Linked DNA regions of Solanum lycopersicum. Each later gene encodes a partner of the first gene's protein in a complex. Links are inferred from orthologs where the notes say so. Each region holds a gene or a part of one and is shown in the gene's direction. Other genes may lie near its edges.

Evidence for each region. Proteins that work in one complex are often made in the same cells at the same time.
Region 2: lethal leaf spot 1-like protein (region 1) and chlorophyll(ide) b reductase NOL, chloroplastic share a complex: the UniProt entries of both Arabidopsis thaliana proteins name them as parts of the SGR1-CCE-LHCII complex. The link is inferred for Solanum lycopersicum from reciprocal best matches to the Arabidopsis thaliana genes ACD1 and NOL.
Region 3: lethal leaf spot 1-like protein (region 1) and coenzyme F420 hydrogenase_dehydrogenase beta subunit-like share a complex: the UniProt entries of both Arabidopsis thaliana proteins name them as parts of the SGR1-CCE-LHCII complex. The link is inferred for Solanum lycopersicum from reciprocal best matches to the Arabidopsis thaliana genes ACD1 and HCAR.

What each region holds. Positions count from the first base shown.
Region 1 is NC_090810.1:57,601,959-57,607,280, reverse strand, and holds the start of lethal leaf spot 1-like protein, read left to right. Parts: upstream 1-1,619; 5' UTR 1,620-1,708; coding exon 1,709-2,128; intron 2,129-2,221; coding exon 2,222-2,457; intron 2,458-2,787; coding exon 2,788-2,914; intron 2,915-3,787; coding exon 3,788-3,924; intron 3,925-4,334; coding exon 4,335-4,494; intron 4,495-4,577; coding exon 4,578-4,856; intron 4,857-5,040; coding exon 5,041-5,295; 3' UTR 5,296-5,322. Other genes in the region: uncharacterized protein, read left to right, coding at 1-44, 138-273. UniProt on the Arabidopsis thaliana protein: Catalyzes the key reaction of chlorophyll catabolism, porphyrin macrocycle cleavage of pheophorbide a (pheide a) to a primary fluorescent catabolite (pFCC). Works in a two-step reaction with red chlorophyll catabolite reductase (RCCR).
Region 2 is NC_090804.1:48,923,076-48,927,779, forward strand, and holds part of chlorophyll(ide) b reductase NOL, chloroplastic, read left to right. Parts: intron 1-2,027; coding exon 2,028-2,098; intron 2,099-2,172; coding exon 2,173-2,221; intron 2,222-2,292; coding exon 2,293-2,378; intron 2,379-4,206; coding exon 4,207-4,264; intron 4,265-4,704. UniProt on the Arabidopsis thaliana protein: Required for chlorophyll b degradation. Chlorophyll b, chlorophyllide b, pheophorbide b and pheophytin b can be used as substrates. Belongs to the chlorophyll catabolic enzymes (CCEs).
Region 3 is NC_090808.1:67,931,899-67,936,602, reverse strand, and holds part of coenzyme F420 hydrogenase_dehydrogenase beta subunit-like, read left to right. Parts: intron 1-543; coding exon 544-655; intron 656-798; coding exon 799-883; intron 884-1,040; coding exon 1,041-1,082; intron 1,083-1,183; coding exon 1,184-1,262; exon of another isoform or gene 1,263-1,948; coding exon 1,949-2,000; intron 2,001-2,102; coding exon 2,103-2,165; intron 2,166-2,839; coding exon 2,840-2,937; intron 2,938-3,788; coding exon 3,789-3,824; intron 3,825-3,901; coding exon 3,902-3,963; intron 3,964-4,704. UniProt on the Arabidopsis thaliana protein: Probable iron-sulfur flavoprotein that converts 7-hydroxymethyl chlorophyll a to chlorophyll a using ferredoxin as a reducing equivalent. Catalyzes the reduction of a hydroxymethyl group to a methyl group. Belongs to the chlorophyll catabolic enzymes (CCEs).

The sequences.
Region 1 (5,322 bases):
CTAGTCTTTGCATCTGCTGGCTTATCCTTTCCGTTTTACATGGCGTAAGCAAGACTTCATTGCTTGTCAAATAAATAAAGAGGTGATCTTTCATATTGTTTTGCTTAATTGTAAGCTAATTCATTGTTTCAATTCAGGTCAAGATCATCAAGGGCAACTCCAGTCATTGATTCATCAAAGCCATTGCCACCCCAGGCGACATTTCGTGGCCCTTACATCAACACGGGATCGCGTGATATTGGACCTGATCATCAAACATACCCTAAGAAATAACATCTTTCTTGATTAGATATTAGTTTTGCTAGTTATTGAAGTCACTCTAGATTTCCCCTTTTTCTTTCTATTCAATGAAAAGAGATAATAATGAGAGTCTGTTGAAACTGGCTCAGGAGAAATTAGCATGTTTGAGAGTGATCCAGGAGCACCCTAGCTGGCCTGGACACCATTGTTATCGAAAACTCTGGAGGAAATTTGCATGTTTGAGAGTGTGATCGAGGAGCGTCCTATCTAGCTTGGACACTACTGTTTCAAGAAAAATTGTTCTTTTAGAGATTTTCAGATATGTAAGTGTGATGTTGCTTTATTGTTCAGAAACAACAATATGTAATATGCTGCGTGGAACGGGGCTAGAATTTTCAGTAAGAAGTTTGAAAATGAGGGTAAAAAGAAAGGGAAAATTGAATTTTTTTTCCCCCCCTCTTTTTAATGATTTGGTTTAAATGGAAGAAGGCACTTACTTTCATACCAAATTCAAGTAAAAGAAAAGGAAAACATTGGTGGGAATTGGGAATAGAACTAGATTTTTTTTTATGAATAGAAAAAAAAAGCAAAGAAGAAAATTGTTGCTACTAGGGCGTGTTTTGACATATTTTCCATATTTGGTTGGTGAAATCTTTTAAGAAAATGACTCTTTTATTACTGTACTGTATTGTTAAATTTATTATTAGATAACATTGAAAAATTTTTATTTTGTATAATCATCAATTTGGTGTGACTGTATTATAATTTTATTTTTCTTTCTTCTCATTTTGTTTAATAATTTTATTTCATCTTTTTTTCGATCTTAGATCTATCTTATTTTCTTGTAAGTATTGATTATGACATTCAATCGATAACGATAGGATATATTAATATATTTTTATCAAAATAATATATAATGTAATATGCTACGATATGATATATTATGAAATTATACTAAATAACTTATCTAAATATTGTGACATTTCAAGATCATTTTCTTTTCCACTCCTTAGTCCTTACTCCAAACACATGTTAGAAATATATTTTTTTAAAATTTTGAGTTGAAAGTGTGTAATAGAAATATTTTGCTATTGACATTTAACCATTGATTTTATCTCCTCTTTACTTTCACAATTATTATCATGTGTAACCTAATCAAATTTGAATTTGTGTCACGTTGAGAATAAAGAGCTCTCTAATAAAAATACGATTCCATATTCGAATGAGTCAAGCCTAAGAACTCTAACCAAATAAAAGAAGTATTTACCACTCCGCGTTAACACGGTCTCTTCTTCTCCCTAAAGCACCACCACCACAGCTTTCATTTTCTGGGCCCTCCCTCACAAACCACAAAACTCATCAAATTCCAATTCAAACACATTGTTCATAACTTGCACGCAAATCCTTCTTCTTCTTCTTTACTTGAACATATGTGTATTAGTAACACAAAACATTGATTAACTCAATAATGGTTTCTTCTCTGTTACTACCAACTCCTCAAATTCTTTCAATTTCATCTTCCTTACAGTCTTCACTACCTTTCAAACCTCATAATTTTCTTCAAATTACAAGGAAAAAAAATACGCTAATTTCATCTCCTCTTAGAGTAGCTGCACCTCCAACAACAACAACAGCTACTGAAGAAGAAGAGAAGCTAGATTCAAAATCTAGTGATATTGAAGATACAGAAAATGATGAACAAGATTCGTCGTCGAAATTCTCTTGGAGAGATCATTGGTACCCAGTTTCATTAGTGGAAGATCTCGACCCGAGTTTACCCACACCGTTTCAGCTACTGAATCGTGATATAGTTATCTGGTTTGATAAATCTGGATCTCAGTGGGTTGCTTTGGATGACAAATGCCCTCATCGTCTTGCTCCTTTATCTGTACAAATCCACTTCTCGATTTTGCTTGAGGATACTTTTTATATGTGTTTTTAGCACTCCTCTTTAAAGTTTTTGATGTATGGGTGTTTGTAGGAAGGGAGATTAGATGAAAATGGTGATTTGCAGTGTTCATATCATGGATGGTCATTTAATGGATGTGGTTCTTGTACAAGGATACCTCAAGCTGCATCTCAAGGACCTGAAGCTAAAGCTTTTCAGTCTCCAAGAGCTTGTGCTACTAGATTTCCTACTATGGTTTCTCAAGGATTACTCTTTGTTTGGCCTGATGAAAATGGATGGGAGAGAGCTCAGGCAACAAAGCCGCCCATGTAAGTTTCTGAATAATTAATTAAACTAGTTCGAAGTTATGCTATATTATTATATATTAATCTCTACTATAGTGACTTGGTTTATATTATAATACTAATCGATTATCTTTAGTACAATGACTTGCTTAAAATATGTTCTTCGTATTTTATTTAAGCTATTGCTGGATAATGAGATTGATTTGGTAGCTCACTTGGTTGATGCCCTGCATGTGTGGTTGAAGAATCGAATCCCATTCCCCTACCTATCGCGTTGATCAAGATATTATAGTTGGTAGACTTGAGTATACTTTTAGTGGGATTTAAATTTGTTGTTTAATGGGATATTTGTAGGTTGCCTGAAGATTTTGATAAGCCTGAGTTTGCAACTGTGACAATTCAGCGTGATTTGTTTTATGGCTATGACACTCTCATGGAGAACGTCTCTGATCCTTCTCACATTGATTTTGCACACCACAAGGTATTTTTTGCAACATTTTCATTCCTTTTTGGCTTCTAATATAGTTAAGAATCCACTTTCAGACCTAAGGTTTTATCCTTACATGCTAAAAATGAATAGTCTTCAGGGTTAGTTCTGAGTTCTCATAAGCTACGGGTTGTTTGGTTTTTGATTTCCATGAAAATATGAACTCAAACTGTTTCACATGTGAAAAAAGTGAACTTTTGAACTCTTAAGCCAAGTAGCTCGCTGTGCTTGGCCAAAACATATATAAGGTCGTTCCTTGGAGGATTTTCTCTTTATCTGGAACGGTATAAAGGTGTAGCTTTTGAGTGTTGCTCATTGTTTTATACAAGTTTTCATAACCTTACTTTCTGTGCAATTATTAGGTAAAAGCCATACTTGGAGAGCAATAGGTAGAAGTACGCCATGGGAATCTTAACTATCACTCTTATGACTTCAGTGCTACTTTTATCAATTTATGGATAGTTTTTCGATCTTACCATCTTAAAAGATGAAGCTGATAGGATTAGGCTATCCGGAGTGTGGATGCTGAATAACATGTTTTGACTCTGGATGTTGCTTCATATTCAGCTGACAGGATTAGGCTCTCTGGAGTCTAGATACTGAACAGCGTGCCAGACGATCCTTAAAATAACCTTTACAGACAATGTTGTGTGTATCTATCTGTAAATATAAATTTCAGAAAGATCTGAAGTAGAGCTTTCATCTTTTCAGTCGCTAAACGACTTTATTATTAGCAAAGGGCTTCATGTATCAGATAACAGAATACGGTGTATATATAGATGTGCATTTTTACTAGAGTGATACTGCTGCTGCTTGCTTGGTGTCCAACAACACATGTCTCTTAACTTACTTGTTGATATTTTACAGGTTACTGGAAGGCGAGACAGAGCAAAGCCCTTGCCATTCAAGATGGAGGCATCTGGACCTTGGGGTTTTGCTGGTGCGAACAATGATAAACCAAAAATTACTGCAAAATTTGTCGCACCTTGTTACTCAATGAATAAGTAAGTTCATCATCCTAAAGTAGATCAAATTTCTTGACTATCAAGGCAAGCAATCATGTATAAATTAATCATCTTTAGGTAGATATGCTTGCATCACATTTCTCTTTCTCCTACTTCACAGAGTCTGTTATCTGCTAACAAAACGAGACATTAGTAGCATTATGTATCTATACTCTTATGGTTGTGGGCATTATATCCTGTTCAAGTCGGGTTCTTTAAGGTATAGCTTTCCAGACCAGGTGCATGGTTTGTACAAGGCTTTGCGCATCAATAGATGGAAGTTCGCTTTGTTGTTGGTATACATGTCTTTATATCTTTGTATGAATTACGTTTTATATGTAAATGTTAGCTCCATCCATGCTGCAACTATTTGCATAGTATGACTAAGATCTCATTGGAAAATTTTCCAGAATAGAGATCGACACAAAGCTTCCAATCGTGGGTGATCAGAAGTGGGTGATATGGATTTGTTCCTTTAATGTACCTATGGCACCAGGAAAGACCAGGTCAATTGTTTGTAGTGCTCGAAACTTCTTCCAGTTTACAGTGCCTGGGCCTGCTTGGTGGCAGGTAATAATATTTGGTTAGCAATATATTATCATGCTAATATATTATCATAACGTCTAAGAATTTTCATGATGTGTTGGCAATAGGTTTTTCCAAGATGGCAAGAACACTGGACTTCAAATAAGGTGTATGACGGGGATATGATTGTTCTTCAAGGTCAAGAAAAAGTCTTTCTTTCAAAGTCGAAAGAAAATGGTACTGATGTCAACAAAGAGTATACAAAACTCACATTTACACCTACTCAAGCTGATCGTTTCGTCTTGGCATTCCGAAATTGGCTTAGACGGCATGGCAATAGTCAACCTGAATGGTTTGGTAGCACAGACAACCAACCACTGCCATCTACTGTCTTATCCAAACGCCAGGTACCGATTCTCAGAACTCCAATCTGCTACTCTTCCTATGATCCATTTTCACTAATACCAAACTTTCATTGCCACCAAAAGCATACAACTACTACTACTACTACGCCTCAATCCCAAACAAGCATACAAACAATCAAATATTTTCTTGAACTGTTACTAATTCTGAATCTTCACAACTTTACAGATGATGGACAGATTCGAACAACATACACTCAAATGTTCATCTTGCAAAAAGGCTTACTACACATTCGAGAAGTTACAAAAGTTACTGATTGGCTCAGTAGTGGTATGCTGTGCATCTGCAGGCATCCCTGCAGATGTTAACCTACGAATTATATTGGGTTCATTAGCAATTATAAGTGCTGGATTAGCATACATTCTACACGAATTACAGAAAAATTTCATCTTTGTTGATTATGTACATGCTGAAATTGACTAAACATATCATCTAAGAACTTTCTCTATA
Region 2 (4,704 bases), on another chromosome or scaffold:
CCCTCTTAAAATAAAGCTTCAACTGTAATGACTGGCAATTAAATGATGACGCAAGTTATAAAACAATAAGTAAATGACACTGGGTATTTTTATACCGGTTGGGATCCAATGTGGATTTTAGTCCAGTCCCCTTGGGTTGCAAGGGATTTTCTATGCAAGTACTTTGAATAGTTGATGAGTACAAGTCCCTCAAGGTTTAATCCTACGTCTACACTCGATCTTTTTTTCTCTTGACACAATGCCTCACCAACTATATTTTTCCTCTCTTCTCTGTTTTGATTACACAGTAAACCATTTAAGAATTACAATGCTTGTTAAGAGTAGAACAATGCACTTTGAGGAGGCTTTATACAAACGTATGTTAGTCTTTGGTCTTCAATGATTGATTATATGAGGACTGTTGTTTCATTAGCAGAGAGGGCAACCCTAAGGATTTGATCCTTGATAAGGGAAATTGATTTCCTTTCCAACAATAAGGGACAACTCATCCAAGAGGCTGCTGTTGTATTATTTTTACTAATCTTCCAAATATCTCTTTTGCCACTTCTGTAATTTCACTGGGTCTTGATTAGTACTTGATACTGCTTCCATGTGATCTCCGTGAGTCTTGCTTCTTTCCTTGGAAGTCATCTAAGATCTGCCTTTGATTAAGTCCTTGAAAATCTTCAGTAATTAATAGCTTAGACTTTCCATAATATTCCTGCATACATTAAATCATCATTAAAACCTGACCCTAACAAATGGATCTGCTTAAATGACACGAAAATTATCTTGTAAACCTAGAACATCAATCAACACCCATGAACTTGAGTTCAAGAAAATTTCACTCAACTAAATCATTCGACATTACTGTACACATGCAAAGATAATTTGACAGCCCTGTTAAATTTTCTTTATAACAGGTCCCTTTGCAGCGGTGTAGTCATGAGCACCATCTAGTTCTTTGCCAAAAATCCTAATGGCTTTGTCTTTTATTGGTGCTGGACGAATTACGAAAATTTAGGAGAAGGATTCCATGTTCATGAAATCCTGCGTTTCTCTATCATACATGTCCACCAACTTTGTGTTGTTTTTTGAAGAGTAGGGAGATTTTGGAGAATAGACTGAAGGCTAAAGGAATGGAGATGAGGGTTTGGAACAAAAGAGAATGGTTAAGTAGAAGCAAGGGAGTATGTTGTCTTATATTTTCTGCATTGAAGTTATGTGTACACAACATTCTGATTTTTTAACATTATGTTATCAGTGTAATATGTAACTTATTCTAACATGTTTGTTACCATTTTAATTACTACTTATCAGTTGGTGCCTATAATTATAAAGGTCCATAACATTTAATTTTGATATATTATACTTTGTGTTGAATCTGTAGTTGTTACTTTGTGTATTAGGTGAAGTTACTTGAGCCCAAGTTTGTGGGTGTTGAGTGATGTTCTGGGTTTAGATTATTCTCATGTCATTTAAGTAGACTCATTTCTTAGAGTGGGTTAAATGGGTATAAGGTACATGTGTTAAATAGACATTATTTTTAAAACAACAATATACCCAGTGAAATTTCACAAGTGAGGTTGGGGGACGGTAGAATGTACATAAATCTTACCACTTCCTCGTGGAGGTTGGAGGTTGGAGGTAGAGAGGCTGTTGATGGCTTTATTTCTTGAAATGGGGTTACATTATGACATGGCAGCCAAATAGGTTTTTGTTTTTTTTTGAATGTAAAAAAAGGGGCAGTGACTTTGGTAAGTTATTTCCATAAGTTGGGTGACTATTTAAGCTATTAACTCCAAATATTAGCATGTTGATAGCTCAAATGATTTCCATTTGGATAGTCTAACACATCAATTATCTGGTAAAAATGAGATGGGAAAACTTTGTGCATGTATTTTAAAGTTGAGATATAAAGTGTTGTTTTATCACTCCACCGCAAGGTGGTAATTCTTATATTATTTTTTCTGTCATTGAGAAACTATAATGTTGAAATGTTGATATTCTAATTTTTGTTGGTTTCTCACATATTCTTGAGAATGAAGCAGATCAATAATGCAGGATCGAATGCGTATAGCTTCAAACCCCTGGCAGAAGCTTCTGATGAAGATTTAATGTGAGCTCTTTTGCATTCGACTTGTGTCCTGTCTTTGTTTATTGAAGTTTTTCATGAATTCGATTTGTGTGCAGTCAAGTTGTCACTACAAATACTCTTGGTTTGATGATATGTTGTCGTGAGGTAAAAGCATTGCTAGGTTGTGGATTTCTCGTTGTTGGTTAGCCTATGTTTGCTAACATTTGTTATTGCAGGCTATAAACTTGATGCAGAATCAGCCTCGAGGAGGTCATATTTTTAATATTGATGGGGCTGGCTCAGATGGAAGACCAACCCCCAGGTATCTTTTTTCCTTTATCAGTGACACTCAACTTCTGCATATTGTATTAGAAGAGGTGGGGCCAAGTGCAAGAACACTTTCACAAGGGAGATTTGAGAAGTGAATAATTTATCAAGAAAAGTATCCTATTTTGCTCTATTATCTTAGAATGTCACATGGATGTCTCAGGTGATGCGCAAATTGCTTCCTGTTGACAGTGGTTCATCAACTAAGAGTTTCCACTTGAACTGCAGGAGTTCTTTGTTAACTTTACCAACCTCTTGGTAGAACATCAAGTTTATCAGTTAATAACTGGACCTTAAACTCATTAAGTTCAACCGTAATGCAGGTTATAAATCAGTTGATAAGAAATTTCTGGATAATCTGTATAAGGATAGTATTCTCAGAACCATTAGATGTGGTTGGTAACATTGAACCATAAGCCGTAATTAAATGTTGAAGCTTGAAAGTTGCTCCACATTATTAAAGAATTCACAAAAAGAACTTGACACCACTTAAATAATTAGCAAAGTTGGAGAGAGAATGAGGGAATTGTTGGAAAATGAAGAAGAATGGAGGGTTATTTACAGTTAAGAAATAGGGTCATGATGTAACTAATAAACATGGGAGTTAAAATAAAACTGTGGTGGAGGGGGAGGGCTGAAATAGCGGTTTTTGGGTCAATGTAGCCGTTGGGCAATGACTCTCAATGGTTACCTTTTCTTAGAAAAAATACGAACTGGCAGGGAAGGACCAACCGTCCAACCTGCCTCTTCCCCTATCCCCCCCTTACAGTACCCGGGACTGGGCCCGTCTCCTCTGACACCCATAGTGTTATGATTTGCTAGGAATTTGACCTGCTTCTGTGCATCTCATTAGAATTTCTTAGCAGCTTTATTTTCATGATCTGTAAGGAAGAGAGAAACAGAGAAAGGCAAGACTACTAACAGAGTTTCTATAAATGGACTGCCAAACAAATTGGAATCAGAAGTTATATTTTTGTTTCACTTCCAATTTTCGGCACCCCCATCTTTTTCCTTCGATAGCAGAAATTGGGTGACAGTGCAATCGAAATTGGGAAAAAAATAAATAAAGCATACGTTTCATGTTTTCAGCTCCCTCACCCTAGCATTGCTAAGTTAAACTGTTAAATTCATGGGAGACAAAATTCAAGTTTGTTTCATTCCCATGTTTGGCTATAAGACAAGAAAGATAAAATGATAATCATCTATACAATTTAATATTCTTTTCTAGGTACAGGCATTTGGTTGTTTGCTCGAGCAAAATTAAACTTTTGTATCCTGCTGCTCAAAGTATCTTAGCTGCTCCAATTCCATGATCATCCTCGTACTGCTACACAAGCATCCTCTGACCAATTTGAAAACCTTGTGACTGCAAATGATTACTGGTGGCTATAATGTTTACCAGTATATTACAGCAGTATTTAACAGCAAGGTGATATCATCTAAAATATCCTAGTCTATCCTGCTTCTTTGCTTATTACACGATGTTGTGTCGTTATCATATCAAGGAACACACTTTGAAACTAAATTGGTAGTGTGTCATGCTAGAGTATTAAACTATTATCGACATGCCCCTGATCGTCTCTTCATTTGTTCTCTGTTTTGGTTGCTCCAGTCTTCCATTTTTCATTTTCAAATGTGCTCTGTTTATTTCAGATTTGATCCTTCTGAGTTTGAAATCTCTTATAGATCTTTAAATTTTGGGGATTGCATTTCTATCAAGTTCATACAGGAGGTCACTAGTGAGGTTAATGCCACTAGTCTCACTTGCTGCCCCTCTCGCAGTCTTTCTCAGTGATATGTCTTGTCTTCTTTTTGATCTTCAGATTTGCAGCATATGGAGCAACTAAGCGCAGTGTTGTGCACTTAACAAAATCATTGCAGGCATGTACTCTGGTTGCAGACCTAAAATATATAAATGAAAATGTTTCATCTCTATTGGTTTGTGCTTATAGGCAGCTCACACAATTCAATTTTGTTTTAGAGTAGACAGGCATCATGAATTCGAGTCTCACCATTACCTACCAGCAAAATATATCCATGTGCTTGGGCAAAAAATAAAATAAAATAAAATTTGGCCCGTTCATAAGAAGACGTGTTGTCGAACTATAATAAAGAAATTTCTCCTATTGCATCTCCAACCTTATTCTCTATTTTACTCTCCAAATATAGAGTTCTCTATTTTCGGACGACCAACTCCAACCCAATTCTCTATTGTACTATCTAAAAAGAATCTTCTTCTCTATTATTATTGTGTTTCATTCTTATTTTTTTATTTCATGATATAAATCATTCCTTTCTTCCAAATAATCACTTTATATAAT
Region 3 (4,704 bases), on another chromosome or scaffold:
CACAGTATGGTCGGACTCTAATCAGACTCCTCATAGGGCGATGGGAAAACATTCATAGACCTCCATCAAAGTCTTCGCTATGGTGTACATCTGTCCTCTTCTCTTTTCTCTTTTCTTTGTTTTTTCTACCTTCTGTTTAATAATTTCATACAGCTTAGCATAGTTTACAGGTACAACGTAATCTCGTGACAGGTCAAACTTTTTTCCCCAATTCTATACAATTTTTTTTTTTTTTTGGTTATTGTCCAAAGGAACTTGGTAAAGTTTGAAAATTATTCCGTCTTTAGTTTGACTGGTGGGTGGAGGGTGACAGGGGGTGCATGTAAGTTCTTTTATGAGAAAGAATGATTTGATTACTCACTAAAAAACTTCAGTGCTTGCTACGAGTAGCAGTTCCTTGGAATGCGTTCTCAACTCAGTCATGCTATGCTATTAGGACCTTCTCTTTTGGTCAAATTTATATGAAGTAGCTCAAAGTACAGATAGTATTTCTTATGGTAAAGTGACCAGATGATGTTGACTGTTCCTTATCATCTTCTTTAGGCTTTGGAACCTATTGTCCATGGACGAGGACGGAAAGAAGATTCCTTGGATGAGATTTATATGGGGGTGTATGAGAATCTATTGTATGCTCGTAAAACTAAGCCTGTGGAAGGTACAACTTTGGATGCTCTTATGTAGTATTCTAGTTCAATTTACTGTTGCTTGTTTTCTTGTGCTCTCTAGATCACTAAAAGAATGTGCCAATTTCTATGAATCATCTGGTCATATTCCTATCTTTTTCTTTCTGGCATTCAGGAGCTCAATGGACGGGGATAGTGACAACTATTGCCGTGGAGATGCTAAAAGCTGGGATGGTGGAAGCTGTTATTTGTGTTCAGAGGTATGGCTTGCATCCAATTTGGTTAAAAATAATTTAGTTCTCCCTCCTGGTTAATTTCACTGTACATGAGTTATGCACTTGAAATTTTGGTTTCTTTCTTCTACTTATTACCCAGCAATTCATGGACTCTTTACCTTCTTTTTTTTATGTTGTTTAGTGATCCAGAAGATCGATTTGCTCCTCGACCTGTCCTGGCAAGGTTTGTGACTGGGAATTCCTGAGCTATTTGTATTCATGTTGATTTTTTACCTGTTAATTTAACCATTTCGATCTTCAACTTTAATTTTATGTTTCTAATAGGACTCCAGAGGAAGTTATAGCAGCTAAAGGTGTTAAGCCGACACTGTCTCCTAATCTAAATACTCTTGCCTTAGTTGAGGTTTCTTCTTTCACTTCCATTATCATCAGAATCTTTGATTGTTCTGTTGTCATCAATGCATTTATAATCTGTGTAACTCTATTGAATTCTTAATGGAGCATGTTGTCATGGATTGAAGATGCCATATCTCTCCTCAATAGGTAATTGGAACTTGTGTAGCTATGCTTTCTTATTCTTCACCACACCACCAAATTAGCTTTACTATCACCCCCCCTCCCCCCGTCAGACCACCACAATCTAATACTGTAATTGCCCCAATCGGGGATTTTATTAAGATAAGCTCTTTTGATTTTCTGATTTGTTCCATATTATGGTTCGAGCTGAATTCCTTTCCTGACAATTTCAGAGTCTTTTTGCCAAATTTTTCCTCTCTATCCATTTGAAGGTCGTAGGTTATTTTTTGACTTTATTTTAACTATTTGAGCTTATTTCTCCCCAAATGCTTTCTCCCTTTCTTTTGGTAAGCATCAACCATCTGCATATCACACTTGTAAGGGTAGGCTTCTTGTTATTTCTTTTCATAACAATGCAATCATGGAATTTCACACTTTCTAGTCGTGCATGCTCTAATGCATTAAAAACTGGGCTTTAAGAGATTCCAGTTTTCACTGAGGATTGTCACACAAGTGTATAGTATAACTTGTAGTTCAAATGTTGAAGTAAGCAGTATTGTTTCCTGGAAACAGGCAGCTGGTGTAAAGCGCCTTCTCTTCTGCGGGGTTGGCTGCCAAGTTCAAGGTATCCAAGTTGTTATGATCTCTTCATCTCTGCTTCAAACTTGATGTTGTCATTACAATTTACATCTCTGTATTTTAAGCAGAACAATTTCCTAACTTGCAGCTTTAAGATCAGTGGAGCAATATTTGAATCTGGAAAAACTTTATGTTCTAGGCACTAACTGTGGTGAGTAGTCGGTGGTATTCATAGACTCCTTTCCTACATCTTTGATCAATTCTAATATAACTACCAACTGCTTGAAATTTGATTATGTTTGTAATTACGTGTGTTTGGAGATCTAATTTTGATCTTTTTTTAAATTAAATAACAAAAAGTTTGATCTATTAACATCACCAGTAGGAGTACTTGTTTGTTGTTAGTATCTCAAAAAAGAGTCAACTTAATTTTTTCAGTTTGTCCACCACAGAAGCAGGGAGAGAAAATAAGACATATAGTAAGTGGACAAACTGGACAAAGATTCAATGGAATCTTTTATGATACTCCCTCTGTTTCAACTTGTTTGTGTGGTTTTTACTTGTCACAAAGTTTAAGAAAGTAAAGAAAACTTTTTGAATTTCGTGGTCTTAACTCTTAAACTATAAATATGTAGAATGTACCAAAATACCTCTTAACTCGTGGTTTCAAACAGGCTATGTGGAAAGTTGGAATTATAGAGTTTCAGGAAAGGGAAAGAAATATTTTTTTCGAAACGGACTGAAAAGGAATAAGACAATTAATTGAAATGGAGGGAGTATATAGTAAGAGGGATGCTCTATAAACTGCTTTTTATTAGAATCTCCTTTCCCCTCTTAGATATTTTTAGTCAATATAGACCTATACTAACTGTCATTTCTCAACAGTGGATAATGGACCACGAGAAGGTTTAGATAAATTTCTGAAGGCTGCTAGCAGTGAACCTGAAACAGTTCTCCACTATGAGTTTATGCAAGACTACAAGGTGTGCTACTGTTATATTTCTTCCATAAAGAAAAAAAAGTAAGCTCCTGTTACTCTTTTATGACAAGCTGAGCTTCATTGTGAGACAACTTATGCATAACCTCTGTGATCTTGGAATTCTATCCATTCAAGTATAAGAACAAGGAAACCAACTTCTACATTCTGTGTTTGTCATGACGATATGTTTTCTGCTTCTGTTGTATTCTAAAACATCAGTAAACAGCCTTTCTTAGTCTGATAACTAGGGTGCTTTTCTAGAATATGTTTTCATTTGGTTGGTGAGGTAAGTTCACTCATGAAGATGCACTTCAATATATCATATTGTCTCCATCCTGATAAATTTTATATGACACATCTTTATTTTGGGCGTACAAAAATCTTTGACACCATCTTACTAACAATATAACTTTATACAACTTCATCAGTTTCTCAAATTTTAATATGTTTGAATAGTCAAATTATTAAGGTTTGATTTGGCATTTCTATGTCAACCTAATTTCGTTTACAAAAATATTTTAAAATTTTCCTCAACTACTACCTATAAAATACACAAATCAAATTAATATCTCAAGTACCATGCCTCGTCCGCTGGTGTCGTGTTGAATTTGATGGAGGGTTACTATCCTTTGTTGGATCAGAAATTTACCAATAAGTAGGATCTTGCAAATGAGAAAGACTAAATTAAGCTCACATGTGCTTCATCACCTTATAGATGAAAACATTTGACAGTTAATCCTGTAAACCATATTATAGCTTTCTTCTTTTACTATGATTTAAAGGATATACTATTGAATTGCATGTGATAGTTTTCTAATCAGTTGAAGCATCTGTCTAAGCTCTACATTTCAACAGGTCCATCTGAAGCATTTGGATGGCCATATTGAAGAGGTAAAATAGCATCTTCTTTTTCGTATCTTTTGTTTTATTTGAATGCTGTTTATTCAGATCTATATTTCACTAAGCAGGTTCCCTATTTCTGTTTACCAGCAAATGACTTGGTTGATGTTATTGCACCATCTTGTTACAGGTATTTCAATTGCTTATTATTGATTTACTGAAGCCTTTAAACAATATCTGCATACTTAACCTGTAGACTTTTTGGGTCAGAGGTCGGTGGTGGACAAGTCTGAATATAATTTTTTTGTTCCATCTCTTTGTGCTCATGGAAATGATTCTTTCTTTCCCTCTATGAGTTGATCCAATTAGTCAATCAACTATAAATTAATCCTACATTAGTTTGGGTGGCTTTATGTATCCTCAGCATCCATTGTGCTCTGTTAGGTCAATTTTTTTCCAATATCTAATAATTCGTGTTATAAGGTATCGTCCAGCTCCCTAACCTAAAGCGGCACCGGGTTTGGACCGCAGGGAACCGTAGCAAACTAAAGATGTGAAATATCACCCTTATCCCTACGTGGATATACTAGTTTTCAACAAGAATAAAAAGACCCTTGACAAGCACTTATGCAAGCGTAGCAACAACTATGCTTCAATGACTGCATCCTATCTAGTTGGTATCACCTATATGGATATGGAAGTTTATGTGGGATGTAGTCAAACCGTCGTAGGCGACATTCTCTAAGTGAGCTACTTAGACGATCTACTGGATATTCTTTTTTAAAAAAATGTGTTAATTACTCGAAAAATTATTGCATGCCAACTATTTTTCTTATGAAGTTCATAGAAATGTAACTTCCCATCTCATTTTTGGACCCACTTATGAATCAAAAGAAACAATGATCTCAATAATGCTCGTAATATCCGTTCT